Linked DNA regions of Zea mays. The protein of the gene in region 3 binds, or shares a complex with, the protein of the main gene of each other region. Links are inferred from orthologs where the notes say so. Each region holds a gene or a part of one and is shown on either strand. Other genes may lie near its edges. The genes, in order: oxygen evolving enhancer protein 3 containing protein; Photosynthetic NDH subunit of subcomplex B 5, chloroplastic-like; Photosynthetic NDH subunit of lumenal location 4, chloroplastic.

Region 1 (9,559 bases), on a different chromosome or scaffold from region 3:
TCCAGCAGCGTGTAAAAAACTATCCAAGAATCATTTGCCTCACAAACTCGAGCTAAGGCAGCTGCAAATATGAAATTTGTGGTAACGAATACGGACTCGTAAACTATAACAACGGTGCAGTCGTACTTCAGAAAGATGACGAAGTTTGTACATGAACTAGCCTCAATATGGAAGATGTGGTGTCAAGGTTGTTCAACTCAGGGACAGAAGCTATGGTGTCAAACCTGCAGCAAGTCGAAATATGAACCCATTGATTGTTGGCGTCGATATGATCAAGATTTTCAGAAACGAGGTAAATTTGCACATGGAGCGGATACAAACCGGTAAACATATGCAAGGGCAACTAATCATCTCACACGAGAGTAGACAAGCTCACAGTCTGTATGTGATAAATATCAAGGTCAATATCAAATTCATGCTACAAATAGGAAAGGTATGAATATTAGTCACGTTGGAAGAGTTAAGCATGCAAAGATCAAGCAATACTGATGTTATGGTTAGGATGTGGTCAACAACTCAGCCGTGGTCAGCAGCTCCAATTTCCCTACTAGCTAGGATCGGTTGTACGCATCCCTCTGGGGATCGGCTGGACAGCCACCTCGAGTAGCTTGTCCAGAACGCTAGCTCGTTTGCAAACCAAAGAGAGCTAGGGTTAGAGAGAGGAAATGGGAGATTCAGAGCCACCAAATCCATAAATTTGAGAGTGATTTGGGGATCTAGAGTCTCCCCTCACTTGTAAGCTCCCACCTCTTATATACTTCATCTTTATAGTGGAGTTTTGCTCACCGCTACCTTAGGTTTTCTCTCCGCAAGAAGTTTCCCACGTAAATCTCTGTGTCTCTACTTGATTGGATATTCTACTTGTCATATGTACTAATTGTTCATCATATTGCTTGCTATTGGAGCTATCCTCAAGTTTCTTGGTGTATGATCATACTGCTGAACAACGTGTTCAGGGAATTGCTATTGACAGCTTAGCGTGCTGCTATTGGGGTCACTTCCGCTGCACGCCGGCCCTCACAGGAAGATATGAAACATTTTCCAAGAGTTGGAGTAGACAGTAGAAGGAAGACACCGATCGATGCTGGGGTGGGGTGGGGTGGGGGGACAGTGGGTGTGGCAGCCATGAACGCGGCGAGTATTGTTTGCCGAACTTGGCGCGTTCCAACGCCAGACTAACATGGAGACCTACCTACCTATCTGTCTGTAAACAACCATTTATTGCCTCGCCGACCGACGACGGATGGATTAGAATATGCAAGCAAGCAACGTACATGGCGGAAGGAAAGCCCAACAGCTAGCTGCAACAAGGTCAAAAGAAAGAATTGCCGCGTCTGTCTCTCTGTCTGTCCGGCCACCGGCGCCACCAACCCCGGCCGCGTTAACCGTGCATGCATGATCAGGCGTAGCCTCTCTGAGGCTCCGACGACACCTTCCTTTGCAATTTGCCCCGGTTCGCTCCATCTATATAAGCCAGGCCACCCAGTATGCTGGAGCCACACAAAACAAACAAGCTTCGGTTCTCCGTAGCGACTGCGCTGCAATCAGGTCGTCGTAGTACGTAGGTGTTAGCCACATACGCATCAGGAAGCTAACGAGAAGATCAGATCGGAGGTAACGGCAATGGCAATGGCCAAGGCCAGCATCCTCGCCACCTTCGCGGCCGTGGCAGCTCTGGCGGCGGTGCAGCTCGCCGCGGCGGCGGACCACCCCGTGGGAGGCGACGGCTCCTGGGACGCCAGCGGCACCACCGGCTACGACGCCTGGTCCGCCAAGCAGACGTTCAAGCAGGGCGACACCTTGTGTAAGTTGGCTCTCTCTTCTGTCTTCTTCTCCAGCGCAACAAACATGCTGTCAGTCACAACTCACAACAAACAAGCAGTAGAGAGAACTGACGACGCCGCTGCCGCTTCTCTTGTGATGCACGCTGGATCTCTGCCGCCGCAGCGTTCAAGTTCGCGCCGTCGCACGACGTGACGGAGGTGAGCAAGGCCGGCTACGACGCCTGCTCCGGCAGCAACCCCGTGAAGTCCTACACCGGCGGCAGCGCCTCCGTGAAGCTGTCGGCCCCAGGGAAGCGCTACTTCATCTGCAGCGTGCCCGGCCACTGCGCCGCGGGTATGAAGCTGGAGGTCACCGTCGCCGCCGCCGCGGTCACCGCCGCGCCGGCCCCCGCCAAGACGACCAAGCCCCGGCACCAGAGGAGCGTCTCCCCGACCCCGGCCCCTGCCGCGGCTCCGGCTGCGCCGTCCACCGACGAGATGCCCACCGTGTCCTCGCCCACCGCGGCGCCGGCGCCCAAGTCCTCTGACGCCTCCACGCTTGGAGCCAAGGCTGTCGTGGGGCTCGCCGTCGCCACGATGCTCACCTTCTTGGCCATGTGAGGGCGAGTCGTGCTGCGTGACGCGCATGATTTTTGCAGATAAATGTATTATATACATACATATATACTCCAGCGATTCATTATTGCATTGCATTGCATTGTCGTCAGTGCGGCGCACCCACCGACGGTTGTTGCTGACAAGAGTTCATTTAATTGCCGGCCTTTTTTTTATTCGATTGTTAATTATACTGCTACGATGTACTTACTACTTGAATTATTAGTGTATTTGTTGTCACTGTTGATCATCCAATAAATTTATCATTATTATTCTTCCAACACAGTTGGTATTTGGTGATCACGACCTGTATTTAAGGTCTGAATGATATATGTATGCTCACAAATGTCTTGACTTCTTAAAAAATAAATGATGAGTACTACTACTACAGTACTACTGGTACCGAACAATCTTTTTTTTAGCATTGTCTGACAGTAGTGGGTGCGATAACATGCTCTCAATTAATCATGGTTGTTATAATGCATCAAATATATCTTAGTTATAATGCTATTAGAACAGTTATATCAATTAGCACGGAACGGAAGTCCTTTGATTTGAAAAGGGGATGTAGTGGACTCGGGTGGTCTTTTGATTTGGTGCACGTCGTCCACATGGGAAATGGTGCGCCGTCAATGGAGGGAAGGCCAGCAGCCAGCACGGAACGGAGAGGACAAGAGTTGGCTAGCTGGTAGTGGCGGCGTGGTGGTCAAGGCAGTTGCCGGCGTCCGTCCCCGTCCCGTACCGCTCGCCGCGGTCACCACCACCAACCCCGGCAGGCAGACATGGCAGTGACCAAAGGCCATGCACCCTCGCCGTCGTGGCTGCCATGACTTCTGTGCATCGACTCAGCTGTAGTGTAGCTCTGTGCATGTTGCACTCCACATATTTCACCAAAACCCATGCCACTGCATTCTTAACCTTTTATTGAAAAACATTGTGCATGTCGAAACTGTTAGAATATAATGTAATTGAATTGACAACATCTTCCTACCATGCTTAAGTTTTTTGGTTGAGATGATCGGTGCAAGGTCCACCGACCGATCGGTGAATCGACTGCTGACGGCTGTTCCTGTAGGAGAATATTTCTAGGCATAGCTCCCCTTCTGTTGTTGGCTCTTCTCTTGTCTCTTTTAAGCTATGGTCAAAAGATCACGTATATGGTCGTGCAACATAGTGAAGTTTAAAATAGTGAAGTTTAAAATGAGAAACCTGTAGATAGCCTTAATGCAATTGTATTCACGTTTAGAGAGAAGCACCGCTGTCTTGTGCTCGGCTCGATAGATGCAGAGTGGAGGGTAGATCTGTGGAGCCGCTGCAGGAGCTGGGGAATCTCTCTCCAACGGCCCAAGGTGGTCAACAGCAAGTCCATGGTCAATTCATGTTAATCCAGCCGACATGCAGAGGTGAAAGGGCAGTGATTCCTAGTACTGCTACACACTGAATTTCGCCGCGAAACGCTAGAGAATTCTTAGGAAAGAATGCAGATTCTGCACAGTACAACAAACTGTAAAGAGAACAGCAGAGATTAGGTTTTTTTGTTTTATTTTTTAATTTTTGACAAGAGAAACGCGCGCGCGCGCAGGCTGATTCTGTGGGATCCTGACGGCGGCGACACTGAAGAATTCAACAAAATTGCACCTGAATTAGAGATGGATTAATTATAGGATAAACTGAAGAAACAGTACATCAGCAGACGGCGGCGGCTAAACTCCTCTACCAAATCCACAGCTATTGCCCTGCTCTGAGACTGAAGCAGTCGGCATCTACGACTACGATTGAGTCAAGACGCCGTTGGGCTGGGCGCCTCTGGGGCGGGCGGCGGCGCATCAGGCGACGGCAACGCAGGTGGTGGAGGTGACGGCAGCAGCTGGTCCGGCGGCGGTGGCGACGCGATCTCCGCCAGCGGCGGCGGTGGTGACGGGAATGCCGGCGGGGGCAGCTGCTGCTCGGGAGGTGGGAGCACGGGCACCGGCGGCGGCGGTGACTGGAATGCCGGCGCGGGCAGCTGCTGCTCGGGAGGTTGGAGCACGGGCACCGGCGGCGGCGGCGGCGACAGAGGGGTGTCGGGCACAGCCGTCGGCCGTGAGGGCGGCGGCGGCCAGGCGGCGGCGTCCGGGGAGGGAAAGGCGGGATCTTGCGCGGGCGTGGGCGTGGGCGGCGGGCGGGCGGCCGTGGCGGGCGAGCGGTATGCGGGGTCCGTGTCGGGCAGGACGGGCTGGCACGCGTCGGCGGCGGCGCACGCGGACGATGCGGAGGCGGGGCTGGACTTGGCGGCGCGGTGGAGGACGGCGCGGAAGGCGAGGACGACGCCGACGACGGCGAGGGCGGCCAGGAGGGCGAGGAAGATCTTGGTGGCCTTGCCCACGTAGCAGCCGCCCCGCATGGCTGGCGGCTCTGGCTGCTCGTCCTGTGTGCCTGTGTCTCGTGGCCTTCCTTGGTTTGGTGGTGGTTGATGGCTGGTGGGGCGGTGGTGGCTGAGGGAGTGAGTGAGTACTCAGTAGTGGAGGAGTGATCCAGATTTGAATCGTACCAAAAATTACAGGCCAGGCCAAATTCATCTTCAACTGCAAACCTCATCAGGAACGGAAGGATGTCGGAACGGCCAGCAGCCGCTTTCTTCCTTTTACTTTTTTCTGATATTTCTATCGGCTACGATCTCATGCGTTAGCGAGTGCCGCCCCGCCCGCGCTATCCACTCGTCTCTCCGTCCCCATGGCCACTTATCTCAACGCACCGCCGGCAGCCACCACGACGACTGCAAGCTGCCGCCATGCCTTCTCCGGTGGCAGCCTCCGTCTACTCCGGCCGAGCCGACCGACGCTGCACGTGACGTGCCAAGCCGCCGCCTCCTCCCAGCAGCCGTCGTCCCCGTCCAGGAGGTCAGCCTGCCTCCTCGGCATCGCGTGCGCCGTCCTGCTCCGCCCACGTGCCGCCTCCGCCGCCGAAACCGACGACGAGCCGGCCAACAACGGCTGGTGGCTGACCGAGTTCCCCTTGCCCGTGCCCAAGATCGTCAACAGTAAGCCGTCCCGTCCGTCCTGCTCCATCCACCACTTAACTTTACTTGGTTCACTGACAATTGTGTCGGCGATGAGTGGCATGGCAGAGGAGATCAACAACGCGGAGACGGGCACGCGCTCCTTCCTCAAGAACGGCATCTACATGGCGGACATCGGGCCCAGCTTCGCGGCGCACGCGTACCGGCTGCGCAGCACGGCCTTCGACCTGCTGGCGCTGGAGGACCTGCTGGGCAAGGACGCCTCCAACTACGTCAACAAGTACCTCCGCCTCAAGTCCACCTTCATGTACTACGACTTCGACAAGCTCATCTCCGCCGCCGAAGACAAGCCGCCCTTCGTCGACCTCGCCAACCGCCTCTTCGACAGCTTCGAGACGCTCCAGGAGGCCGTCACAGCCAAGGACGACGCCAGGATCGGCGACCGCTACGCCGAGACAAAGCTCATCCTCCAGGAGCTCATGGCCAAGATGGCCTAGCAGAACCACAATTTTTCATTCATATATCATGATGTGTAAATGAATACTTGAAACTCACAAGGGGTATTGCAGAATTCCCAGAGCAGGGAAATACAATTATCATGTCAGGCTGTGTGCGTGTCCGACAACGGGTACACAGTTGTTTACATACACGCCCAGCTCAGCTCAGAGGCATTGGGCATTGGGCAAACGACAAATCAAGACTACGAATGAAAGCAAAAAAATTGAAAATGGCAACACATCCCAACATACAAATCAGATCAGGTCCTAAGATTAATATAATAGGCCAGCACACCCACCGCTGCCAGCCGTTAGCGCAATCAACAAGGCCACAAACCAAATAAAATTGGCAACTCACACCACCTCCAGACAAGGGGATGCAAATGATCGGTTGCATCACCAAATCAACACACACACAAGCATTACACTGGCAGCTCGCTTCCGCCGTATTTCATCATTGTGAGCTCCGCATCTGGGTTTGGCGCCTGGGGATCCCGATCTCACAGGAGTTCACCCTTGCAGCAAACCGCAATGAGCAAAGAGACTCCCCTGTCGAGGACGCTTCAGGAGACAGATTCACAAACATCAGTGTCTTCGAGTCCCCTCCGAGACACGGCTGTGTTGCCAAAAGCATCAGTTAGTACTTGATACCATTTAAGATTAAACTTTTAGCCGAAACCAATGTGTCGGAACAATACCTGGAGCAGATATGTCAGCTTTGAGTTCCGAAATGGAACGTGTTCCTCTTTCTTTGCAATCGAGAAGATGACATCACTTAAACATGACAAGCTTTTGTTGATAGCCTAAAGCCGGAACAAAACCATCCTTATTATTCCTCCTTATATACAAAATATATATACATATAAGTGAAAAACACAAACGATGCTCAAGTACTAGATAGCAAATTACCACTGTCTCTTTCAACCGATCACCCGTGGCACCACTTTTGTTCAGGCGCTCACTGCCTGCTAGATCTATAAGATTCAGCACTCCTTGCACTTGTTGATCCGTTCCCTGAAAAGAAAATGGGTCAGCTATAGACGAGAAGACAGCATGCCAAACAACGTCACATGTGAACTAGAATAGCTGCTTTGTGGCATGGGATTCAGTCACAAGACCTTTGAAGTATGGTGGGCTTGGGATCCCTAATTTACAACACATGTGTTGGGCCCTTCAAGCCAAATGGCTTTGGCTTCAAAAAACAGATCGGGATAGGCCTTGGCTTGGCTTGTCCATCCCCATTCAGCAACATGTTAAAGACCTTTTTGCTGCATCCCTGATTTCTCATGTGGGAAATGGCTCTAATACCTTGTTCTGGACAGATAAGTGGCTTAATGGATGCTCCATCAGAGATCTTGCTTCAGAAGTGGTGTCCAAGGTGGCTAAGCGAGCTCTTACCTCTATGACAGTGGTTCAGGCTCTTGAAAACAGGCAGTGGATTGCACATATCAACCCCCCCCTTTCCTTGATTGGAATTCAGCAATTTCTTTTCTTATGGGATACTTTAGGAGATGTGCAGCTTTCTCAGGAGGAAGACCGCCATGTTTGGAGACATGAGACATCAGGGGTGTTCTCCTCTAAATCCTGCTACAAGGTCTTTTTATTAGGTTCTACTGTTTTTGAGCCTTGGAAGAGATTATGGAAGACCTGGGCTCCTCCCAAATGCAAGTTCTTTCTTTGGTTGGCAATAAGAAACAAATGTTGGACAGCTGACAGATTACAGTTGAGGGGACTGCCACACCCAGATGTTTGCCCAATGTGTGATCAAGTCCAAGAGACAATTCAGCACCTCCTTACTACGTGCATTTTTGCCCGGCAATTTTGGCATACAATTCTTGCTGCTATTGGCTTGGGGCATCTCACTCCGACTGCTGATGAGGGAAATTTTTCAGAATGGTGGGGAAAGGTGTGCCTTAGAGTTACCAAGACAAGGAAAAAGGGACTTAACTCTCTGATAATCCTGGGGGCTTGGTGCCTATGGCTTCAGAGAAACAGAGCAGTGTTTCATGGGGAGTCTCCTTCATTGCCCAGGATTCTTAGATGTTTCTCAGATGAGTGTGTTTGCTGGGTTTTAGCAGGAGCTAAGGAGGTCGGTAGTATGGGCTTAGTTGCTGCCCTGGGCGAGGTCGGGTCTAGTTTCAGTACTTCTATGTAATTTCTTTCGGAATTTTGTGGGTCTTTGGGAGATTTGCTTTGCAACATCTCCTCTTTTGTAATGTTTCTCTTCCTCTTTATTATATAAGATGCGCAGTTCTCCTGCGCGTTCTCAAAAAAAAAAACTAGAATATTACCTCATTTACACCGAAAATCCGAAGAGTGAAAACACAGTGACTTCTTGATGATTCCTCATTCATTTGTGTTCTACCAACTGATCTGAAGACAAAATGAATAAACGACTGTTTTAGGTCCAATGTGCCACTCAATTCTAAGCTCTGGAACTCGAAAAAGAAGTTTGAGAACACAATGGCAGAGATATGACAGAAACCTGAAGGTTATGCCATACAGATTTAAGAAAATTAGCTTCTATGTTGAAAAAAAAACAAAGTAGTGTGGAGTACATAGTGAAGTTGAATAGTGAAGCAACTTAAACTTGAGCTGATTATCTTCAGCATCCAGATTTACTTTTTGCTTAAGAAAATATCAATCTGCACCATGTTCTATTATAACTTATTGAGAGTTGATCATAACCCTATAATGGGAGTAGGAATATAATGTAGTGACTTTACATAGCTACATCATATACTACATCAGCTGCCAAAAAATTATGGCACCCAAAGAAACACTCATCATCAGTTCAAAATTTTCCTATTACATACTCTTAAGACAAAATACTTAATACTGAAACTTTGAAAATAAATAAGAGTGTAACCTGCTCTGAGCAGCCCGCCTAAGGAGAGAAGAAACTTCGTTGATACTAGTTACGTCAATGATCGTAAGGTCCGACACATTCGTGTTACCATTAGTATCATGCTTGATACTGTACTTTGAAGCACCAACATCCTGAACAGCCATGCGATTCGTTGCTAGCAAGTCGCGTATAGTCTCGTTGTAAATCTCCAACATTGAGGCCTGAAAGTTTAAATTACACCATGATAACAGTTACAGAAAACTTGTCCACTGGTTAGTTCAATTAAATAAGTAAATTACCAAAAACACACCTGCATCTTATATCTCCAACCCTGTGAGTTAAGTGTCTGGCTAGCTTGAAAAATTTGCTCCAGAGATCGTGGTATCATTCCTTTTTGATCTTCTAACTCAGGGTTGCCCATCATTGTATATGTTTTACCAGAACCAGTTTGCCCATAGGCAAATATGCAGACCTAAATGGTTTACTGGTTTTTAGTTGCATTCTAAGAAAACTAGATATTGGAAAACGAACCAAAAAAATCATAGTTACTAGAGTTAGAGAAGGTAATCTCAGTTATAGTCATACAAATGATATACCTTATAGCCATCTAGGGCACTTTGGACAAGTTGAGATATTTCTATGAACACATGTTCTTGTGACGCCGAATGATCAAATACTTTATCAAAAGTAAACGAATATCCCTGTGCTGAAAACAATAAGAAATGCAATGCAATTGTATCATAATTTGTATTCTCAAATATAATATATCAAATTTAAAACTAGAAAAATGACTGTAATGATGACTATACCATTATGTAACAACTCAATGCCTCGGCCT
Region 2 (10,314 bases), on a different chromosome or scaffold from region 3:
GGCTGGTCTGGTCCACTCTATCCTCTCTTGACATGTATACCGGCTTATTCAGTCAAGGGCTCAAGGTCCAGACGTCCAGTACAAGTTACTGCCAAAACCAAAAGGTTAGTTTCCTTAATTCACCAATGTCTCCATGTCCTTATGGGAACCCAATGCAAGTTATAGGAGCCCAACTTAAGGCATTTGGTGTACGGCTGCATCAAAGATGCACCAGCTGGTTAGATGTTGGCATCCATGCTGAGACAGTTGCTAAACGCATGGCTATATGATGGAATGTAAGAGTAACGCACCGGAGTGTCTTGTTGCAGTCATTTGAGTAGAGCGGCTCGACCACATCTAACCAAGCATCTGGCGCACTGGCAGTCGGCCGGCCAAAGCAATCCTGCCGTGGCAATTGAGTATATACATTCCGTTTTGTTTTTCTCTTGGAAGTATTTGTACCGCAACATTCGCGTTTGGACCATCATAGTCATAGGGAGAAAAAATGAGAGAGAGAGAGAGAGAACATTAAAGAGTTTCATGCCGTAGCAGTTCGTGTTCGGCCCAGTACTTCATTTGATCCGGCCCACAGTCGATTTTCAGCCCAACAGCAGGCCAAATCTTGCTTTGGATCTACCGCCGGCCGAATTTTTTGTATTTTAGCCCTTAAACAGAAGTAAAATCACGTTTAGACCTAAAAAAATTTTAAATGCAGTTTTAGACCCTTAGCTCGGCGCCATAGCCTGTGGCGCCGAGCTAACACAGCTCGGCGCCACAGGCTGTGGCGCCGAGCTGTGACGTGGCCATTGCCTCGGGCGGTGACGTGGCTGATGGCGTGGCACCTAGCTCGGCGCCACAGATCTTGGCGCCGAGCTAGGAAATAACCGCGTGTGCGGTTCCTTCTCCGCGCGCTCCTTCTCTGTTTGTCGCTGCTACCTCGCCGTTTTTTCGTCGCCGCCGCTGCGCCGCGCGCGCAGCTCGCCGCCGCCGCTGCCCCCTGCGCGCCGCGCCGCCGCCGTTTTCTGCTCCCTGCGCGCCACGCCGCCGCCGCCGTTGTGAGCTCCCTGCACGCCGCCGAGTTCCAAGCGCGCCGCCGAGCTCCCTGCGTGCCTCCGTCGTCCCTACGCGCCGTCCGATCTCCCTGCTCGCCGCCGTCGAAGCTCCTCCGCGCCGTCCGAGCTCCTTCGGCAGTAGGTTTTTTTTATTTTTGTTAGTTTCTTAGTTGCTAAAATGTTAGCATATTGTTAGCTAATTGTTAGTGTTTAATTATTGTTTAGTTAGTGCTTAACATATTTTCTTGTTTAGTTATTGTTAGTTATTGTAGTGCTTAGCATATTGTTAGTGTTTAATTATTGTTAGTGCTTAGCATATTGTTTAGTTATTGTTAGTGCTTAGCATATTTTTTTGTTATTGTTAGTGCTTAACATATTGTTAGTTAGCTATTGATATTACATATTTTCGTTGGCAACCATCGTGTTAACCATCGTGTTAACCATTTCGTTAGTATTTCTGTTGGCAACCATCGTGTTGTCGTTTATTCGCAGGTTCTATAAACATCACTTTACAGGGGAGGTGCTGCCAAATTTTTTACTGACAATAGGTTTTTTTGTACGTAGGTGTTCGTCCGACTTGACCTTCTCCACCGTTAGCTTGACTCGTACGCGTTCTCAGGTATACAATGTCTTCGTACATTATTTATAGATTATGTAATTTCGTTTGATGTGTTCATTTAATATTTACTCTATAGTTATTAGTTAATATATATTTATTACTTAGTACGTTAGTAGGCTTAAGTATGTAGCCATTATTGAGTTAGTAATCCATTTTTGCAATAGATGGACAGCCTAGTAACACTATACCGTCGGACAACTGTTCCATATGTAATATGGGACAACAAACCCTGAATTGATATTCTAGGGTCGTTTATGTCGCAACTAATCTCCTCACAAGCTCGAGCCAAAAGCTGGTCAAAAGATGGTCTTTCAACGAACAACATGGTCACGATCTTCATACCATCAAAAGTAACACTCCCATAAGCATCTATCTTTCTGTTGCTACCTCCTCCGCATATCAATTCAGGGTTTGTTGTCCCATATTACATATGGAAGATCGTGACCATGTCTTTCTGTTGCTACCTCCTTCTCCGCATCCGTCATTGGTGGAGGATTCGGGGGAGGAGGTACCCAACGCTTAAAACGCTCATGACTGGTCTTTCCACTCAACCAATTAACGAAAAGAAGATATCGAGGGTCAAATTTATCAGGACCATCGATCCACTGGAAAAAGAAACACCTCTGATGTCCCTAAAATAATGGAAAGATGCACTATTACATATCTACAAAATAATGAATGCGAACAAAATTAAGTGACAAGTCATAAGCTACGTACGTCCAAAGTGCCACAAAGGTAGTAGCAGCGAGCAGCCGTGTCTGGATGTTGTGATTGATGTACCCAAGACAGTCTGCCACAGTCACAGTTAGGCACGGGGAGTTCAGGAGGAACAGGAGCATCCTTGCTAGATACGTCCGGATATAACTCCCGAGGACGACCTCTCTTCTGCCACAACGCCTCTCGGTACATGTCTTTCATCTAATAAACGATTATAATTATCACCTGTACCTGTTATGCTTTATAATAAGTTTACACAAACTAATAATCGAAATGATAATATAATAGGTGTATACAAATTATTAAACTAACAACCCAATATCCAAAACGAATGAGTTGGAAATCATACCTTGGTCTACGAAGTGAACCAACTCAAATCTTTGAATCCAGCAAATTTTGACGAAGTTTGGAAATGGGATGAAATGAGCTGCTCTCGGCCAGCCGCGCGGGCGTTTTTATAGGAATTTGTAGCTCGGCGCCAAGATCTGTGGCGCCGAGCTACGAGGCCGGGCCGCAACTAGCCGTTGCTGCCACGTCATAGCTCGGCGCCATAGGCTGTGGCGCCGAGCTACGGCACCACGTCAGAGCTAGCCGTTGATGCCACGTCACAGCTCGGCGCCATAGGCTGTGGCGCCGAGCTGTGTTAGCTCGGCGCCATGGCCTATGGCGCCGAGCTAAGGGTCCAAAACTGAGTTTAAAATTTTTTTAGGTCTAAACGTGATTTTACTTCTGTTTAAGGGCTAAAATACAAAAAAATTCGGTACCACCGGCCGGTGAAGAGACGAACGAACACTGCGGATCTGTAACCGGAGATATCGCGTTTCCACTTCGTTCCCAGTTCATAGCAATCGATCAATTGCTCAGCCGCATTCCTCAATCCGCGGCCAACAATCTTCCGTGCTCAAGGCCCCAGCTGCGTTTCTTCATCCGCGTCTTAAGGGGAAAACTATACTTTATCCATGCACTTAACATGGATCCAGCAGGTAGAGCGGGTTCAGTTGCATACTCATTTAACCTATATCTGTATTCCTGTGAGTAAAAATATATCTGAAATATAACCAACAATTATCTTGAGTTTTAGCCTAGCCTATTGATTTGTCAGAGTCCAAGCGTCGAAGGTTCGAAGCACGAAGCGTCCAATTCTGGACGCACGCCACCAGCATGCTCACTGCTCACACCTATACTCGGTTCAACCTGAGTAGAAGTCCCAACACAATTGTGCGGTTGAACAATTACTCTCTAAATATATATATATTAAAGACCTAATATTACCTCTATTCTCGAATATTTTTCATTCGCTAGCTCATTTTTGAACTAACAGGCGACAAATAAAATACAGAGATAGTATTATTAATATTTGTTATATTTGTGCATTTTTCCTTATTGAGTATGGGTACTCATCGGATAAAAAATACCCACACGAGTACGTGTATGAGTGTGAAATTGTATCCGTGCACAAGTAGGGGTATTAGAGTGGCGAGTTTTTAGTTTGACGGAACCGAGTCTGGGGTAGCAAAACCCGGCAGGTCTTTATCTGTTACCATTTCTAATCGAGAGGCTTGGTAGTGTTAGGCTGTCTCCAACAAGGGGCGCTAAAGCGTTCGGTATGCTATATTTAGCGTTTCTCGGTGTCCGCTATCGCTCCAGCAAGAACCGGCAAATGGTCCGCTAAAATATAGCGGCAGCTCGACGACCGGTAAATGTGGAGTGTTGTTGTTCATCCGCTATCCATCCGCACAGAGTTGTTGTCTGGTTCTTCTCGTCTTCGCCAACAGCATGCCACAGCACGACAGCTCTGCTACTCCACCCGTTGAGTACCACGACAGCTCTGCTACGTTCGGTATGAGAGATTATGCACGAAATCATCTCTGTATTTTCAGTGCAGCAACGTGATTTCATTTTATTTGTGTCTTGTTGCTTTATTTTCACCTTCCAGACTGAAGTTGAGTCACATTGACTCTCCGCCAACTGGTAAGGACAGAGGCAGGGCTTCGAGGCGTTCACGAGTAGAGTACTGGTGATGTCAGAGCTTTACTCATCGTTCGATTACAGTAAAAAAAAATGCATGGGCAGTTTATTGATGCAGTGATGCTAGCCTTTTTTTCTCTTACTATGAAGATGGGGGACTATGTTGTCTTGATACCAAAAGAACTGGGAGCAATTGCATTTTTTTTGTATAATACTAATTTAAGAAACTGGTTTGTTGATTACTAGGCTTAAGGATCTGATCTGTAACAATGTCATGTGCGGGTCTTCTTGTGACATCGCAATCTCGAGGGCACCCCAAGGCCGCCAAATGTTCTAGTGTCCATTGATGCTTGGTAAGAATTCAGTTAGAGCTTTACATGCAAATTAGTACTGTATATTTATTTGTAAACATAGCACCATTGTACTACTAATTAACTGTGTATATCTAAACCCTAAACCCTAGGTTGATGAAGACGTTCTAGCAACCAACCATAGGTCGCTATAAAAAAATCGTTGTGTAGTGTATGAGAGAATTTAGAAAGAACCACTCCATATACATGGAAAAATTTAAAGGACAGGGTTACAGATAATCCTACAAAGAGTGAGTTCTCACTTGTTTTGTTGGTGTCCGTTGACCAAAGCACATGCGACAGTTTCTTACAAATATAGCGCACAGAATCACGATTTTTTTTGGCGGGGGGAGGGGTTACTGTGGGACGTCCGTAGGTGTTCAGTTCCACAGAATCGTACCGAGTTTTTATGAGCTGATTATTTCCAGAAACGAAAAAAGGGACAGGAAAAGACAGCGGAAAAATCCTGGACGGTAGGTGTCCAACTCCAGCGCACCATTATCCGCTTGCTTTTTTGTCTCTTGGCCGCAACGTGAAGTGCAGCAGCAGCCAGCAGCGGGGGCTGGAGCACTCACCAGTCACCACTCAGCAGCGATCGCAGCACCGCGGCGAGATAATGAGCAGCCTGTCCTCCGGCATCTCTGCCTCGCCATCTGCAGCGCCCAGCACCGCTCGGCGCCGCCATGACGCAGCGCCGCAGCAGCTGAGGGTGAAGGCGGCGGCGCGGCCACAGCTGCTGCACGCCGGCCGCCGGCGTTCGAGTGTCGGGAGGAGGCCGGGCGGCGGCGCGGTGGTGGTGAGGGCCGGGCCTGGGCCGCTGTCGGAGATCGAGCCGGACCTGGAGGAGGACGCCATCGACGTGTACCGCACCAACGGCATCAGCCCGGTCCGTCGTCGTCGTCCCTCGTTTCCTTCCTTTTCTTCTCTTCTCTTCTCGGTTGTCGTTCCGCGCTTAGTTAGTTAGACTAGGAACACGCAGGAAAGCAGTGAACCTTGACGTAGGTTGTGCTATGAACGAGAGCTCTGAAGAACGGAGTACGTTTCGTTCGTTCGTTCGTGGATGACACTGGAGAGGATCTGTCTTGTCTTGTCTTGTCTTGCAGGAGGACTTCGAGTACGGGAAGTATGACGGACACCACACCTATTTCGAAGGCCAAGGTATTACTATCCTCCCAGAAAAAAATAAGAACTCCATTGTTCATGATATGATATCCTTCATTGCAAAAAGAAAAAGAAATAATAGTCCACTGATTGTTTTGTGCTGTGGTGAAACAAAAACCTGCAAACAACCGCAACACCCCCCGCTTTTCTTCCCAAGACAAGAAGGGCTTCTGGGAGGATGTCTCCGAGTGGTACCAAGAAGCTGAGCCTCCTCAGGGCTTTCAAGGTACTACCACTACTGTGTAGCTCTTTCAGATCTTTATGCTTCTGCCTTGCTCATTTGTTGCACTGCATCAATGGCGGCGATCTCTTGCAGCACTCATCTCCTGGGCATTTCCTCCTGCGATCATCCTCGGCATGGCTTTCAATGTGCCGGTAAGGATCCAGCACTTCCTCCTCCCAGTACCTAGTCCCCTGTTTGGAACACGAAGTTTCCTGGTCGGAAGTGAATTGTGCTTTCTGTCGGGAAAGTGAATTGTTTCCTGTGAAATTCCTGCGCTCCAAGCATTTGTGCCCCAAAAAAAAAAAAAAAAAAAACTCGTCACCTGCATCTACTGATCGGATCGGAGACGCGTCTGCTTGTGTCGCCAGGGGGAGTACCTGTACATCGGGGCGGCCGTCTTCATCGTGGTGTTCTGCGTCATCGAGATGGGCAAGCCCGACAAGCCGCACAACTTCGAGCCGGAGATCTACATGATGGAGAGGTCGGCCCGCGACAAGCTCATCGCCGACTACAACTCCATGGACATCTGGGACTTCAACGAGAAGTACGGCGAGCTCTGGGACTTCACCGTCAACACCAGGGACGACATCGTCAAGTCGACCTAGATGCATTGCGTACACCGCTCGCTGCCCTTCAGATTGTTGCCTCACAGCAAAAAAAACCCTGTGAAAGGAAGCTGTAGCTGCTAGGAAAATCTCTTGAATAAAAAGGAAAGCCATCCTTCCTGTAAGACTGGAGAGCCTGAAAATCTGTTCTATCCTCGTGCCATATAATACACGACATGTTCTGCAGACTGTTGCTTCAACTTTCTGCATGAATTGCCTTTGTTTTCATGTTTTCTCCAATACTTTGAAGGGAAGAGAAAAAAAAACACATGCAAGACTGATGCGCTGAACAATCAAGAGCCGCTGGTTTGCCACCACCCACCCATTCTTATTATTATTCAACAAAAGGAAAATGTCATTAATTCCCCTAAAAACATGTGCAGAAAAGGGAGAATTAGGAAGGAACCATCAGGGTAACAAAACTGGGGAGAAAAAAAGGGTAAGCCTCGCAGCTGTTTCCTCTCTTTTTTTTTTACACTTGGGATGCAGCTGGCTCGCTATGAAGACGGGCTCTTCTTTTTTTTCCCGAATTCCGAAAGAGAACAAGGCTGGTCTACTGCCCTGAGGAGGAGAGAACTAGCTTTTCTTCTAGACTACACATCCCACTGATGTTTGTTTCACCTGGATGTTCTGAAGAGCTGACTGCCTAGAGTCACGGTTGGGGTACCTTCCGCCATGACTGCTGTGAGGCTGATCTCCTGCTCGCGGATCCGTTGTATCTCAGCCTCCACCGAGCTCATCGACGGGCGCTGCTCGCTCGTCGGATTTACGCACCGTGCTGTCAGGCTCAGCAATTCCTTCATGCTTTGTGAGGTAAAGCCACCGGCCATTCTGCTGTCTGCGATCACGGAGATGTCACTTGATTCCTGGAAGCTCTGTGCCTGCACATCAACAGAACAGACGAGTAAAAAGATCTGTCCAGAGACGGGTATGTTATTTTGCAGAGAAGGGTGGACAAACATCAAGCATCAAGCAGTGATGCCATTATTTACCCACTGAATGATGCATTGATCAGAGACAGCTTTCCGTCCGCTAATTAGCTCCAGAAGGAATACGCCAAAGCTGTACACATCGCTTTGTATGGAAAAGTTCAAGTTCATAGCTTCCTTCATTCTGATCATGCAACAGAAGTTCCATCGATCTTAAATAATGCAAAGCAGATTCAAGGCAGATGATTCTACTGTATCTATCTGATGTAAGCAATGAATGTAAGAACTATCAGAAACATGTGTGTCCATTGTTACCGAGGTTCCACGAAAGGATCATTAAATGTTCTGGAAGACAGTCCTGTAACACCAAGTCGATCAAGCATGCCTGGAATCCCAGTATCTGCAACTTTTGGTGCGAAGTCCTCGTCCACAAGTACATTAGAAGTTTTGAAATTCATATGGACCGCAGGGGGTGTCAGCGAATGCAGGTGACTCAGGCCTGGATAGCAAGAAAATATCGCCATTTAAGATTGTTGATGTAGTTGCCACAAGGACACTGCTACAGAAGAATGCGTCTAAGCCGATATGCTGTGAAGGCTTACCTTTAGCTGTGCCATGAGCAATAGAAAGTCTCTTCTTGAATTCTAGCCTTGAACCTAGAGCATGGCTGTTACCTACAAAAGTATAGCAGAAAAATTAGAACCTATGACACTACTCTTGTACATTAGAGTTAGATAAAAACGCAATGGAAATCACCATGTAAATGTGTTGATACGCTGCCATTGGAGATATACTCATAAACAAGCATCTGCATGCCATCCTCCTGACAGTACCCCAAAAGTTTTACAAGGTTCCAATGACAGAGAGATGCTAGATAATTAACCTGACAAGAAAACAGCACTGACACATGAGCTCAAAACAATGTCAGAAGGGTGTGGAGCAAGCTGGGCTATGTTTCAAATTATAACAGGACGTCATGTGGAAAAAAAACTAAAGTTAAAACACAGCACATTCGACGAATTCGGGACCAGAAATTACTGAACATGTGGATAAGTAAGAAGATTATGCTACCTCTTGAATGAATTCCTGGCTAGGAGGAGAATGCCGTCTTTTAACAGCTACTATTGTGCCATCCTGGAGCAAACCCTTATATACCTCTCCGAACGTCCCTTGTCCAATAAGGTTGCCATTGCTGAAATTCCTTGTAGCAAAATTCAATTCCTCTAAACTAAGACATCTTGCTTCCTGCGACTCTGATAGGTGGAAGACGAAGTTATTACTTATGAAAATAGAAAGAAAGATGTATCTTTAGATGAATTATCTGAAGTTTTAAAGTTTTATTGAAAGTAACTTAAGCAGTACCTGGTAGAGCTTGATCTGAAAAACCACTTTCTGAAGAGTCTGAGGTTCTTTTGCGATGCTGTAGGCAAAGTACTATTATAATTATGACAATAAGTAGTAGTGCACATCCTCCTGCAGCAGCTCCAAGAGCTTCTGCAAGAAGTCCTGACATCTAGTATTGGATATCCTCCTTCAGAGTAGCGCAGTAATCTTTGTAGCTGTGGTGATGAAATCTGCAGATATCTGAAACCTAAAGAGTAGTTCATTAAATTTGTTCGAGTTTATATTTGAATTCATAAGGAAGAACGCGAATGTACAGATTGCTGGTTATGCCAGCCAATGAACTAGAAAACAATTCAGATAGTGGATAAATATAACAAACATGTATACATGGGTTGGTTGATCAATAGATAAAGTTAAATTACTAGTGCTATATAATATATTGACACTGATACCATGGATTGGTCAAACTAGCCCTATCATAGGCTGGGGAAAAATATACTTCTTTGCATATGCATCATTTTTTTTGTTGCCCTCAAGTGGCAAAATTAGGAAAGCACATCTTGATCATGACATCAGTATTACGGATGGCTCTACTAGTAATGCATAAATATGGAAAAAGGCAATTAAATTACCAAACAGAAAACATTCTGAAAATGGACATTTTGTGATGAAGTGCAACTGCAAAATTCGGAAAACGCATCTTGATCATGATCATGAAAATGGCGTTACGGACAAAGCTACTAGTAACGCATAAATCTGGCAAAAAGAGAGACAATTATGTTACCAAACGATAAAAACGGGGAATTGTCGGATATCGAAAAACTAGAAATTATGAGGCAACGTGCAGTGGCTAAATTGGGAAAGCACATTTTGATCATGGCACCAGCAAGTTCGGGGGAAGCTACTAGTAACGCATACCCTTCTCTTTTCCGGTATAATTCTCCCATAGGACCGTTCAAATTTTCCGCGCCATGTCCGGGTCAGAAGAAATTTTACCACAATACTTTGAATGGCATGTTATTAACTAAATGCAATGCAATAAAACATCTTTCACTATGGCATTCTGCACCCATAAGCACCCTCTTACTGATGAAACCAATATGAGTACGCTGCAGTGTACAGGCAAAAACATGAATGCAGTTTTTGCTTGGACCAGCCTGAAGCTGTGCGTGTACACGTTGGGTTGATTTTATTTACGAACCAGTACCGTTTTTGCAGATCGCAATCTAACAATGTGGCATCGACTGCTACCTGAGTCCTGAACTCAGTAATAGCAATAACAGATTGAATGAAGTACTAATCAAATGAGGGTTGCTGATCGGTTCGTTCATCGCCCCCCCCCCCTGCGATCAATCGAAATTCAGCAC
Region 3 (9,999 bases):
ATTCTGAGCGAGAGATCGGACGGCCCAGATGCCACGCGTGCGTCGCCTCGCCACCCCCTCTCCTCCGCCACCGCTCCCTTTTTATGCGCCGCTCCTCCGCAAAACCCCTCCTCCCTCTCTCCCAGTCCCCAGTCCCCACCCACCACCAGTCTTCCTCGCTCTCCAAATCTCGCGACGAGAAAGCCCATCTAGGACCACAGGGGCGCGCCAGCCGGCAGGAACGACGGGAGAGGAGGGCATGGAGCCGGCTGAGCGGATCGAGTCGGCCGGGACGGCGCTGGGGAAGCGTCCGAGGAGCAGGGTGCTGCCGCGCACGGCCAGCATGGTGACGGTGCCGTCGGCGGCGAAGCAGGGGCGCCAGGAGCGGGGCGCCGGCGTGCCGTCGTCCTGCTCACTGCCGGCTGCCTGCGCCGGGATGGTGGCCGTGCCGGGGGGTTACTACTACTGTGGCACCTCGTTCGCGGCGGTGGAGACGGCGGCCTTCCTGAAGGCGTGCGGCCTCTGCAAACGCCACCTCGGGCCCGGCCACGACACCTTCATCTACAGGTTCCAGTCGGCGTGGTTTTTTTTTTTTGTTTTTTTTTTTTTTTTGCTTAGGATCGCATCTTTTCCCTTCATATTCATGGCCCCTATTTTACTTTACATTATGAGGCACATAATAGTTTTTTTTTAATCAGCTGTCACAGTACTCGCTGAGTGTGTGTGAATCTAATTCCCTCTAGTATTTTTTTTTTGGTGGAAGGAATATTTGATGCGAATCTTCCTTTCGGTGCCTGTATTTATTTCCAATTATTCTATTGGTTCGGTTCACGAGTAGTTTGATGCTGCATCGTGTGCACACACATTTTTACATTATGAGGCACATAAACATACTAGGTGACCAATCAAACGAGCTGTCGCTTGATTATGATATGTAAGCCTCGTCACCTGGAACCGTATACTATCTCACAAGTTCTTTTTAATCAGCTGTCACGGTCCCTCATCCACCTCTTGGTTGAAAGAGTTTGTTTTTCTCTCCCTGAATTCGGATGATGTAATGTAACATGACATGACATGATAGCTGGATTCTGTTTGTCTGCGCCGTGCCGTGCAGGGGCGAGGTGGCATTCTGCAGCCAGGAGTGCCGGGAGAAGCAGATCGAGTACGACGACCTCGACGAGCGCATGGAGCAGACCTGCTCCGTGACCTCCATGAAGGAGGCCCCGTCCGTGTCCGGCGCCAGCGGCTCCGACCAGTCCGGCAGCGGCGGGGAGACCGTGGCCGCCGCCTAGGAGCCCCCCGGGGGAGTGGCGCAAGGGGGCGGGCGGGGTGTGTGTTGTTGCGCCCTGGTGGAGCGGGAGCAGCGACGCCGGCCGATCGGTCGGCCCGGCCCGGTAGATTCCGCCATGCTATAGAGCGCCTGTGCATACAGCTTTTAGCTCTGGAGTCTGGATTCCGGCAGTGATGCATGCGTCAGTGATTTATTATTATAGTTTGTTGATGCATGTGACTCTGGAAACATAGCCCCTCTTGTCTGTCGAAACAAACAAACAAAGAGAGAGAGAGAGAAAAAAGGCAGGTACCCGGGTTGCAACAAGCCAACAACAACAGACTCTCGTCCGCCATGGCATCTGTCTGTCCTGGTTTCCCACATGTTGTGCTGTCAAGCGGACACGGCTGTGTGCGCCTGTGCCTGTGCTGCAGAATTTGACAATATGCTCCCTTCCCACCCAGTCCCAGCTAGGAGAGCAAGCTCGTCAGTCTAGTCTGGCCTGGCAGTGTGGTGTGGTGACAAGTGCGTGGTGTTGTCGTGCGCGGCACTGCACATTCTAGACGGTGTGATCCTGGCTGCATGGCCTAGACCCTAGAGCCAGGGGAGAGCGAGACGCCCGTGATCTGATCAATCTCTCGATGCAATCAATCGGTCGGTCGGTCGCCCCACCTGGCAGGAGCAGAGCAACCACCGCTGTGCTGCACCTGCACGGCCGCCGCAACAGCGGCAGGCCTGCTGACACGCGCGAGTACACACGACACGACGGTGGCCGCCACAGCCTAACTCACACGAGCTTTTGACCGGCCATGACCGAGCACCAACAGTCCTTACACTACACATGTGCGCGCCTACTCTAGTGCCTACATGAGTGACCCATCCATGGACCTGGTGCTTTCCACGGCGTAAAAAGCACGGCACTGTTTACTTTGGGGCTTTGATGAACAGCGGTTGGCTTGACAATTGGCTTGTCACGTCCGGGATCCTTATCGTCCTCCTGGAAACTGAGAATTCGACACATGGGAAACGCGATCTGGAGGGCTACTGACTACTGAGCTAGAGCAAGGGGCGGAGCGGACCAAATAAATGCATGTTTACAACAAACGGATGGAAACGGAGGAATAGAAAGAAAAAAAAAGAACTTTGTTGTGGTGTACGAAACACTATGAACTATTTCATTAACTATAAGCTTCGGATTAAAGACGGTTGTTTGGACTGCTGCAGGTGTAATCCATAAAGATCAGATGTAATCCATAAAGATAAAAAAAACCATAAAACAGTAGAAAACACTATAAAAACAGTACAAGTTTTTTTTTGACACAATGGGAAAGGGACAAACAAAAAAAGGTTTTCATGTCTCAATTTCTTATTTCTCAATCTTATCTATGTATTTCTCTCTCCGTATGAAGCTGTTTTACCAATCTTTTATCGAAAACACTTTGTTTTACCTAAAAAATGTGTTGGCGCCGATCTGGACACCGATCACTAAGAGTCTACTGTCTGACGGTGCCCTAGAGGTGGCACAGACAGTCCGCGGCTTTGTGATGGACGGTCCGCGACCTGGGCGCAGGAGCGACACCTTCCCTGCATCGCACCGGACTGTCTTCGATGGCGGGGGTTCGTCTTTCTCCTCCTTGGAATCTAGATCTCGCCCCTAGGAGAGATATCTTAGGATACTCCAGATCGACAGCCACCCGGTACGTCATTAGCCGATGTGGAGTCATCTAGTAATTAAAAGACAGTTGAGGTAGTGTATCTCGAATGGACAACTAGATCTTGCTTCCCCTAATGGGTAAGATCATAGGGTCGTCTTGTGGTCGGCAGACAAACAAGATGAATCTAGACGACGTAGATTCGAATATGTGTGAAGTTGGATATGCGGAAAGTTACAACTAAGATTTAGCTATAACTGAGGTTCCGGCTGACAACAACTTCTTCTGTTTCTCAGAGTCAAATGCCCAGCAACGTACTTCATCGCCTACTGCCGTTGATGAGGAAACCGTCCCATTGTTTAATTTAATCCTCTTCGCTAGATCCTTTCCTTGTCAGACAGGGCCTGGCTACCCGCAGCCGCAGCGCAATGGGAGTACATAGACAAATGCGCAATGGGAGTACTAATACGACATTCACAACGAGTTTATAATGTGTTTTTGTTTGAGATTAAAGTAGTACGAGGATTTGTCTAATCACACTGGCACAAAAAATTTGCTTCAGTGTTTCTAGTTCCGGCGTGACTCATCCAAAAAAAATACGGGTAGGCTACTAGTTGGTTTGCCAGCCGGGACAGGGACTCCATGCCAGGTTTTACAACATGTACAAACAGTCGAAATGACATTAAATTTTTATAAGGTCTAATCGTGAATTTTTTTCCGAGGAAGAGCCAAAATGCAAAAAAAATCGGCCAAACAGGCGACTAGGCAGCCGACTACTATACATGCAGTTGAAAAAAAACATGGGAGAGAAGGTACTCCGAAATTTTCACTTCTACGGTGCCGAGATTAAAAGATGATTGCACCTGACAGCTGAAAGCTGCACCCCCAAAAAAATTGGTGTAGATTTTTCCCATCAGCTGTTATCTTAACCAGGTCCTATATTGTACTTTTGGTTGGCATTAGGCAAAGTGGTTCACTTTTTGTATTGCGTTGTGTCGTTATATCATCAAAACGTGAGGAAAAAAAAAAGATGCTGGTGGCCGCAGCTAGCGACGTAAATTATAGGATGGTGACGAGTGTGTGTATCCACTGTCAAATCCTAAATATCTTTCTTGAGCCTTATAATTTATCTAAAAAAAGTTTTTTAATACCCAAACTTGTTTGTTCTTCTAAATAGTTACTAGACTTTTGGCAATCCATATTATCTTCCTCTTTGGAACAATAATAGATGCACTAAGATCGTGTCTAGCAGTTACTCACATGGTTATCCAAAACACTGTTATGCACAGTAGATTGCACTATCTGTGGAGTGAAATTTGAATACGGAGATGAAGATGGATAAGCTATTAGAGATATTCTAATAAATTTTGTCTTTATACCATAGTATACTTTGCAAGTAAATAATAAGAATCAAATTTAATAGAAGGTGTACCTTTATTCTTGTTCTTGCAGTACTGCTATAAGTACATAACTTGCTTGCATTAGTACATAACTTGCTTGCATTTTGACCGGAACCCATCATTATCCTTCACAAAAGTAGTTTTGCGACTTATAAAGGTCACCTCGATATTCTTATGGTGTAAACTAATCCCGTTTTATTGAGAGAAAACCTTTGACCATCAAGCATTTTAGGCCTAGTTTAGATACTCTTGGAAGAGGGGGTTGAAGTGCATTGAAATGTATCCAATCAAAACAGACAACACTTGCCATGTCATCGATCACGACCTGCCACGTCAAACGGGGTCGCATATCAGCGTATTTGTCCGCGGCAGGGAGATTTACACGGTCATACGGGTTGGTTTTAGAAACAAAATTACTCTGATGTTAATTTTTAGAAATTGATTTAGAAAATGATTAAAATAAGAAAACTACGTGGGCTGTAGACTGTCCCGAAACTTGCGGCTCGGCCCGGTAAAACCACGGGCCTGCTGCTGCAGTGGCCGGCTGAAACATCCAGAGCCCATGCTGCCTCCGCGCGACGAATTTCGGGGCGTCATTATAAAGACCCGAGCCTGCGCGCCTTGCAGCCACAGTCTGGGGATAATAATCCACACTCCACAAGCAGCCATGGCGCCACCCATCACGTCCCTGTCGTCTCTGATGGCGTCCAGCCCAATCCCGACGCCGCCGCCGCCGCTCCCGAAGACCAGCGGCAGAGCGCTCTCCGTCGCGCCCTGCGGCTCCGCGTCGTCCTCGTCGCCGTCCACTTCCTCGACTCCTCATCCGGTGGCGGCGTCGGCGTCGGCGGGCAGGAGGGGGCTGCTGGCGCTGGGCGCCGGGTTCCTGGCCTCGGCCGCGCTGCTGTCCCCGGCGGGCGACGCCGGCGCCACGCGCATCGAGTACTACGCGACGGTCGGGGACAAGATGTGCGACCTGAGCCTCGTCAAGTCCGGCCTCGCGTACTGCGACGTCGAGGTCGGCACCGGCGTCCAGCCCCCGCGCGGCGAGCTCATCAATGTCAGTACCGAGACCACCGTCTCTTCTTTCCTGCATGCCTTGCGCCTTCCTCTGACTTAACCTACTCTGTAATAGTACAGTGGTCCATTTCCCTTCTGCACGAGTAACTCAGCAACATATGCCGCCATCCTGTTCTGCGTTCTGTGTGCTGCTTGCTTCGGATCCTAATTATATTCGTCCTCTCGATGGTCATCAGGTGCACTACACCGCGAGATTTCCCGACGGTACGCTGTTCGACAGCAGCTACAAGCGCGGGAGGCCACTGACGATGCGCATAGGCGCAGGCAAGGTGTGCATGTATAAGCATCCATTGTCGCTCACTGAAAACGACGTTCAGTTTTCATGCCAGTAAAAAATGATGGTCTGTTTCTTTCGCGTTCTCCGCGTGCAGATCCTCCGAGGGCTTGAACAGGGGATCAGTGGCGGCGGCGGTGTGCCGCCCATGCTTGTTGGTACGGACAGGAACTTGAGCAGTTTTTAGCTGTGCATTAAATATAGAGGCTTTGCTAATTTGGCTTGCTGTTCCATGACTGATGACTCCGTTGCAAACCTGCCTCAGGTGGAAAGCGCAAGCTGATGATACCTGCGTCACTGGCGTACGGGCCTGAACCGGCAGGCTGCTTCTCAGGTCGATTTTCAGAACTGCGCTAAATGACTTCGTACACCATAGATAAGCAAACTGCTCTCGCTCTAGAATTGTCAAGGAGACTGCTTCTCTAGTTTTTTCTTTTGTTTTTCTTTTTTTGACAGGAGACTGCAACATCCCCGGAAACTCCACACTTCTATATGACCTTTTCCTCGTCGGGATCTACAAGTGAGCCCTCGATGACAGGGAATGTTCAGAACCTAAGAGCAGAGACAAGGTCTGTCTGATATGTGTGCCGTGCACAGCGTTATTCTGAACTCGCCTGGTTTTCTGTGACTCACGTCCTTCTTTCCAGAGTAACCGATCGTTTTCGTGTGTCACACATGGAGGGTTTCAGGAGGAATTCTTGGCGGTGAAAGCACCTGCAGAGGCAGAGCCACTTGCAGAAGCTTCTGTACTCCAGAGAGCTACCTGGATTGAATAAAATGATGATATATATAAACCATCCTTGTTACGTAATAACGCCATTGTGGAACTTTGTAAAGACCAATCATATTGTTGACTATATAGCAGTTTGATACAGCCAAAGCGAGCAAGTTATCGGAGGTGTATGTCACATGCGCCACCAGCTTTGCTTGCACAGCCGATACGGAATCGTGAATTTGTTTGTGTCAGTCAGACTGTCAGCGTGACTGGCGAATGGCGTCAAACCCTTCAGCATTCGATCAATCATGCCGACTAAACACTCACGATTCGGATGTGCAGAGAGGTCTCGCGCTCGTGCCTGACACATGTGTGCCCGTAGTAGCTTGGAGCAAAAATTCTCATCGACCGGTTCAGACGGTGCCCGCCTCTGCTGTCTGCCTGAATTGGGGAGGCTGCTGAAGCAACAAAGGCGAAGCTAAACCACTGGCACCATTTCCATGGGTTGTGAAGACGTAGATTTGCAGAAGCGAAAGCGTAAGATAGGACCAAGCCGCATTAGCCGTTGGAGCGCCACATCGGGATCGGGAAACTATTTTGCTTGTGAGAGAGTATCACTGTCACATCACTGGGATGGTTGGGCTTGGGTTATAGGTACTAAAAAAAGTTCCAGTGCAATTTGACCTCACCTCTTTGGCTCTATGTCATTGGTGGTTCCTGGGAGCGCCGAGAGCTGTTTCCTCGGGCCTGTTTGATAGAGCTCTGGCTTGCCTAAAAATAATGGGTTTTTTTCTAAAAAATAAAAACAGCATTTTTAGTAGAGCCGAAGCCATTTCATAAACCGTTTGACAGAAACGGTTTATCTTAGAGCCAGAATCATTTTCCTGTATTAAATTGATAGAGTTAGAGCTAAATTTGTTAAAGCTACTATTTGTGGTTTTTATGTGTAGTACAAAAATAGTTATGACTTTTATGTACTTTTCGTAGCCGTTTTAAAAAATAGTGTTTGAGAGAGCTCTGCTTTTTTATATAGAAAAACCAGAGCCTGCCAAACGGTCTCTAAGAAACGCTTTGTCGACAATGGAAGGGCAGAGATGTTGAGCAACAGAAGGTGGTGCGCCTATTGCTAGCTGCAGAGCAGCAAGGAACAGGTTAACAGAGGCTGTTGTTGCTCGTGAGATGCCAGTTGCAGCCAAGCGCGGTTTCAACAAACTACCCATTGTTTTACTCGCTAAACATCTCCGCATAAGTTTAGAACATACACTGTATTTGTTTAGGTTTTTATCCAAATAAAGTCAAACTTTGTTAATGTCTAAAAAAATATACTCCGCCTTTGAATTAGTTTTAGTCAAACTTTGATGTACATCATTTGCTTCCTTGAATTAGTATCACTAATTCACCTTGAACATTTTTTTCCATACCACAGAAGTTTATATATGTTTTCTGTAATATTTTATCCGGACGACCGGACCAACAAAACTATATTTAAAGAAACAGCAGGAAACCGAAACTCTCGTGACTCCTATAGGTTGTAAGTTGAAGCTGAAAATTTGAGCCATTAGAGCATCTCTAATGGGGTGTTTGGTTTGAGAAATGAGCTAGTCTATCATCTTCTCACTTCTCACTATTTTTGTTTGGTTTGTGGAATAGAATGAGTTGATCCATCACCACCCCATTTCTTATAGTTAGTTAGTACTAATATGAGGAATAGAGTCATTCCACCAAATTTGAGGAATGAACTCATGATGCACCACCTCAATTTGAATGGTTTAATTCCTCAAATCAAACACTCTATAAGAAAACCCATAAGAACAACTCCAAGAGATTAGCTAAAAAGGCTAGTCAAATTTATTGATTTAGCTACTCTATAAAATCGATTCTACAGAAAAAGTGTAGGTAATCCAACAACCTCAGTAAATTTACAGATTAAATGGAGAGTGAAGCACACTATCCAAAAATAGAGAGCGAAGATAGAGGGATGAAGAGACACTAAATTTGAAGAGTCATTTACAGAGTTTAATGGATACAATTTTATTCTAATATTAGCTAAATTTATCTTTACAAAACTATATACATAGTCTGTTAAAGTTGCTCTAAGCCAACCCAAAAACCCACAAGCCAACCCAAAAATGCTTTTAGAGAAAATAACGTCTTTTCAACCCTCCAACAGCTCCTTCTTTAAGCAATTGATCAGTTAGCCTCCCATTTTAAGCATAACCGATTGAGTGAACATCCAGCAGTGCAGACAATTGCAAAATAAAACAAGTTATTAGCATTGAGGTCGTCCATGCCGCCCTGGCTAGCCTTGTCCATGCATGCAGCTCCTGGCAGAGAGCAGAACCGACGACAGCAAGCGCAAAGACCGATGGGTAGACAACGTCTATCAACAAAAAGTTTAAGTAACTGTTTATTAGCATTTTAATGTGAGTTTAGTTTTTTAGGGATAATATTTTTTCAACAGCTCCCAATATGATGTTTGGGCAGCAACCCACGCCATTCCACCATTGCACAACATATGCACCACGAACCAAACCATCTTCCGTCGCCTCTCTCGGTCCTGGTCGCTATTTAGGCTATCTTTAGTGGATAGTATAAAATAGAGAACGCATAACTATAGATAACACTGTTTATAAAGTAAAGTTTGAGTTACGAGATACTATAGGTGATATCTCCATTAAATTTTATATTTTATCCTTTATTTTAAATTTTACTCTGTTCAAATCTCCTATTTTAAACTACGCACATTTTATAAAACTGACCAGAAGTCAGGAGAACGACCCACTGAGCCCGCAAACAACCGGTCCTTTTTCGCCCCTTGGTCCTACGTTTTGTCGCCGCTCACTAGCGATCTCCGTGACCACAGATCTCGTCGGGATCGTTTCTACCGTTCGGGTCGTCCGCTCCTTGACGAGTTGCCTAGGCGCTACTCTACCAGGGTTCAACGTCCTTGGTTCCCCAGGTTTGCGATCTTCGTGCTTTACCCTACTTCTGCTTAGTGCTAATTGTTTGATGTATCAATTGGATTCGGTTGCTGCTATCTACATGTTGTTGCTGCTTGTAGTGGCTATCCTAATGATCCCTATTTTAAAAAATTGATTTTATCTCTCGTTCGCTCAATGTTAGAGCAAGTACAATAATGGACTCTAAGCCCGCTTACATGATACTTTTGCTTACGTGGAAGAAAGAGATATCAAAAAGTAGAGAAAGTTGACTCTAATGCAAGAGCTAGGTGATCCATGGGCTTCAAGACAAAAAGATGAAAGAGACAAAAAATTCATCTAAGAGCCAACCTTAGAGTCAGCATTATTATATGAGTGTGTTTATTGTTGACTATGTATGACATGATAAAGAGTTAAGGCCAACAATAGGCTCTATTATTAAACTTGCTCTTAGAATGAACAAGATTTCGTGATTACAAAGTCTCTTGCAACCTCGCTGCATTCAATTCGGTTGGGGATTTGAGCCCTTAGCTGGCTATGTAAGAATTCAACTAATTTTGTGGTATGTGTAAGAATTCAACTAATTTTGTGGTATGTATTGGAACAGATGGCCACTTCCACATCCCACCATGCGCTTTCATCCACCAAATTGTTGTCCACAGGCTGCTTCCATCCTGATAGGAGAAATAGCTG

The links.
Region 1: Photosynthetic NDH subunit of lumenal location 4, chloroplastic (region 3) and oxygen evolving enhancer protein 3 containing protein share a complex: the UniProt entries of both Arabidopsis thaliana proteins name them as parts of the chloroplast NDH complex. The link is inferred for Zea mays from reciprocal best matches to the Arabidopsis thaliana genes PnsL4 and PnsL3.
Region 2: Photosynthetic NDH subunit of lumenal location 4, chloroplastic (region 3) and Photosynthetic NDH subunit of subcomplex B 5, chloroplastic-like share a complex: the UniProt entries of both Arabidopsis thaliana proteins name them as parts of the chloroplast NDH complex. The link is inferred for Zea mays from reciprocal best matches to the Arabidopsis thaliana genes PnsL4 and PnsB5.

The regions. Positions count from the first base shown.
Region 1 is NC_050102.1:1,242,041-1,251,599, forward strand, and holds oxygen evolving enhancer protein 3 containing protein, read left to right. Parts: upstream 1-4,993; 5' UTR 4,994-5,090; coding exon 5,091-5,397; intron 5,398-5,484; coding exon 5,485-5,873; 3' UTR 5,874-5,981; downstream 5,982-9,559. Other genes in the region: uncharacterized protein LOC100280976 precursor, read left to right, coding at 1,624-1,804, 1,948-2,384; vegetative cell wall protein gp1, read right to left, coding at 4,159-4,761; kinesin-related protein11, read right to left, coding at 6,328-6,489, 6,572-6,676, 6,783-6,887, 8,165-8,246, 8,743-8,942, 9,032-9,193, 9,318-9,427, 9,531-9,559. UniProt on the Arabidopsis thaliana protein: NDH shuttles electrons from NAD(P)H:plastoquinone, via FMN and iron-sulfur (Fe-S) centers, to quinones in the photosynthetic chain and possibly in a chloroplast respiratory chain.
Region 2 is NC_050098.1:158,247,033-158,257,346, reverse strand, and holds Photosynthetic NDH subunit of subcomplex B 5, chloroplastic-like, read left to right. Parts: upstream 1-5,258; 5' UTR 5,259-5,301; coding exon 5,302-5,571; intron 5,572-5,788; coding exon 5,789-5,843; intron 5,844-6,003; coding exon 6,004-6,072; intron 6,073-6,162; coding exon 6,163-6,221; intron 6,222-6,437; coding exon 6,438-6,674; 3' UTR 6,675-6,828; downstream 6,829-10,314. Other genes in the region: putative transmembrane protein kinase family protein, read right to left, coding at 7,292-7,555, 7,667-7,787, 7,919-8,102, 8,206-8,277, 8,360-8,486, 8,675-8,856, 8,966-9,116. UniProt on the Arabidopsis thaliana protein: NDH shuttles electrons from NAD(P)H:plastoquinone, via FMN and iron-sulfur (Fe-S) centers, to quinones in the photosynthetic chain and possibly in a chloroplast respiratory chain.
Region 3 is NC_050100.1:216,377,612-216,387,610, forward strand, and holds Photosynthetic NDH subunit of lumenal location 4, chloroplastic, read left to right. Parts: upstream 1-4,949; 5' UTR 4,950-4,968; coding exon 4,969-5,358; intron 5,359-5,554; coding exon 5,555-5,647; intron 5,648-5,749; coding exon 5,750-5,810; intron 5,811-5,917; coding exon 5,918-5,986; intron 5,987-6,108; coding exon 6,109-6,176; 3' UTR 6,177-6,221; intron 6,222-6,299; exon of another isoform or gene 6,300-6,341; 3' UTR 6,342-6,616; downstream 6,617-9,999. Other genes in the region: uncharacterized protein LOC103627751, read left to right, coding at 239-546, 1,094-1,271. UniProt on the Arabidopsis thaliana protein: NDH shuttles electrons from NAD(P)H:plastoquinone, via FMN and iron-sulfur (Fe-S) centers, to quinones in the photosynthetic chain and possibly in a chloroplast respiratory chain.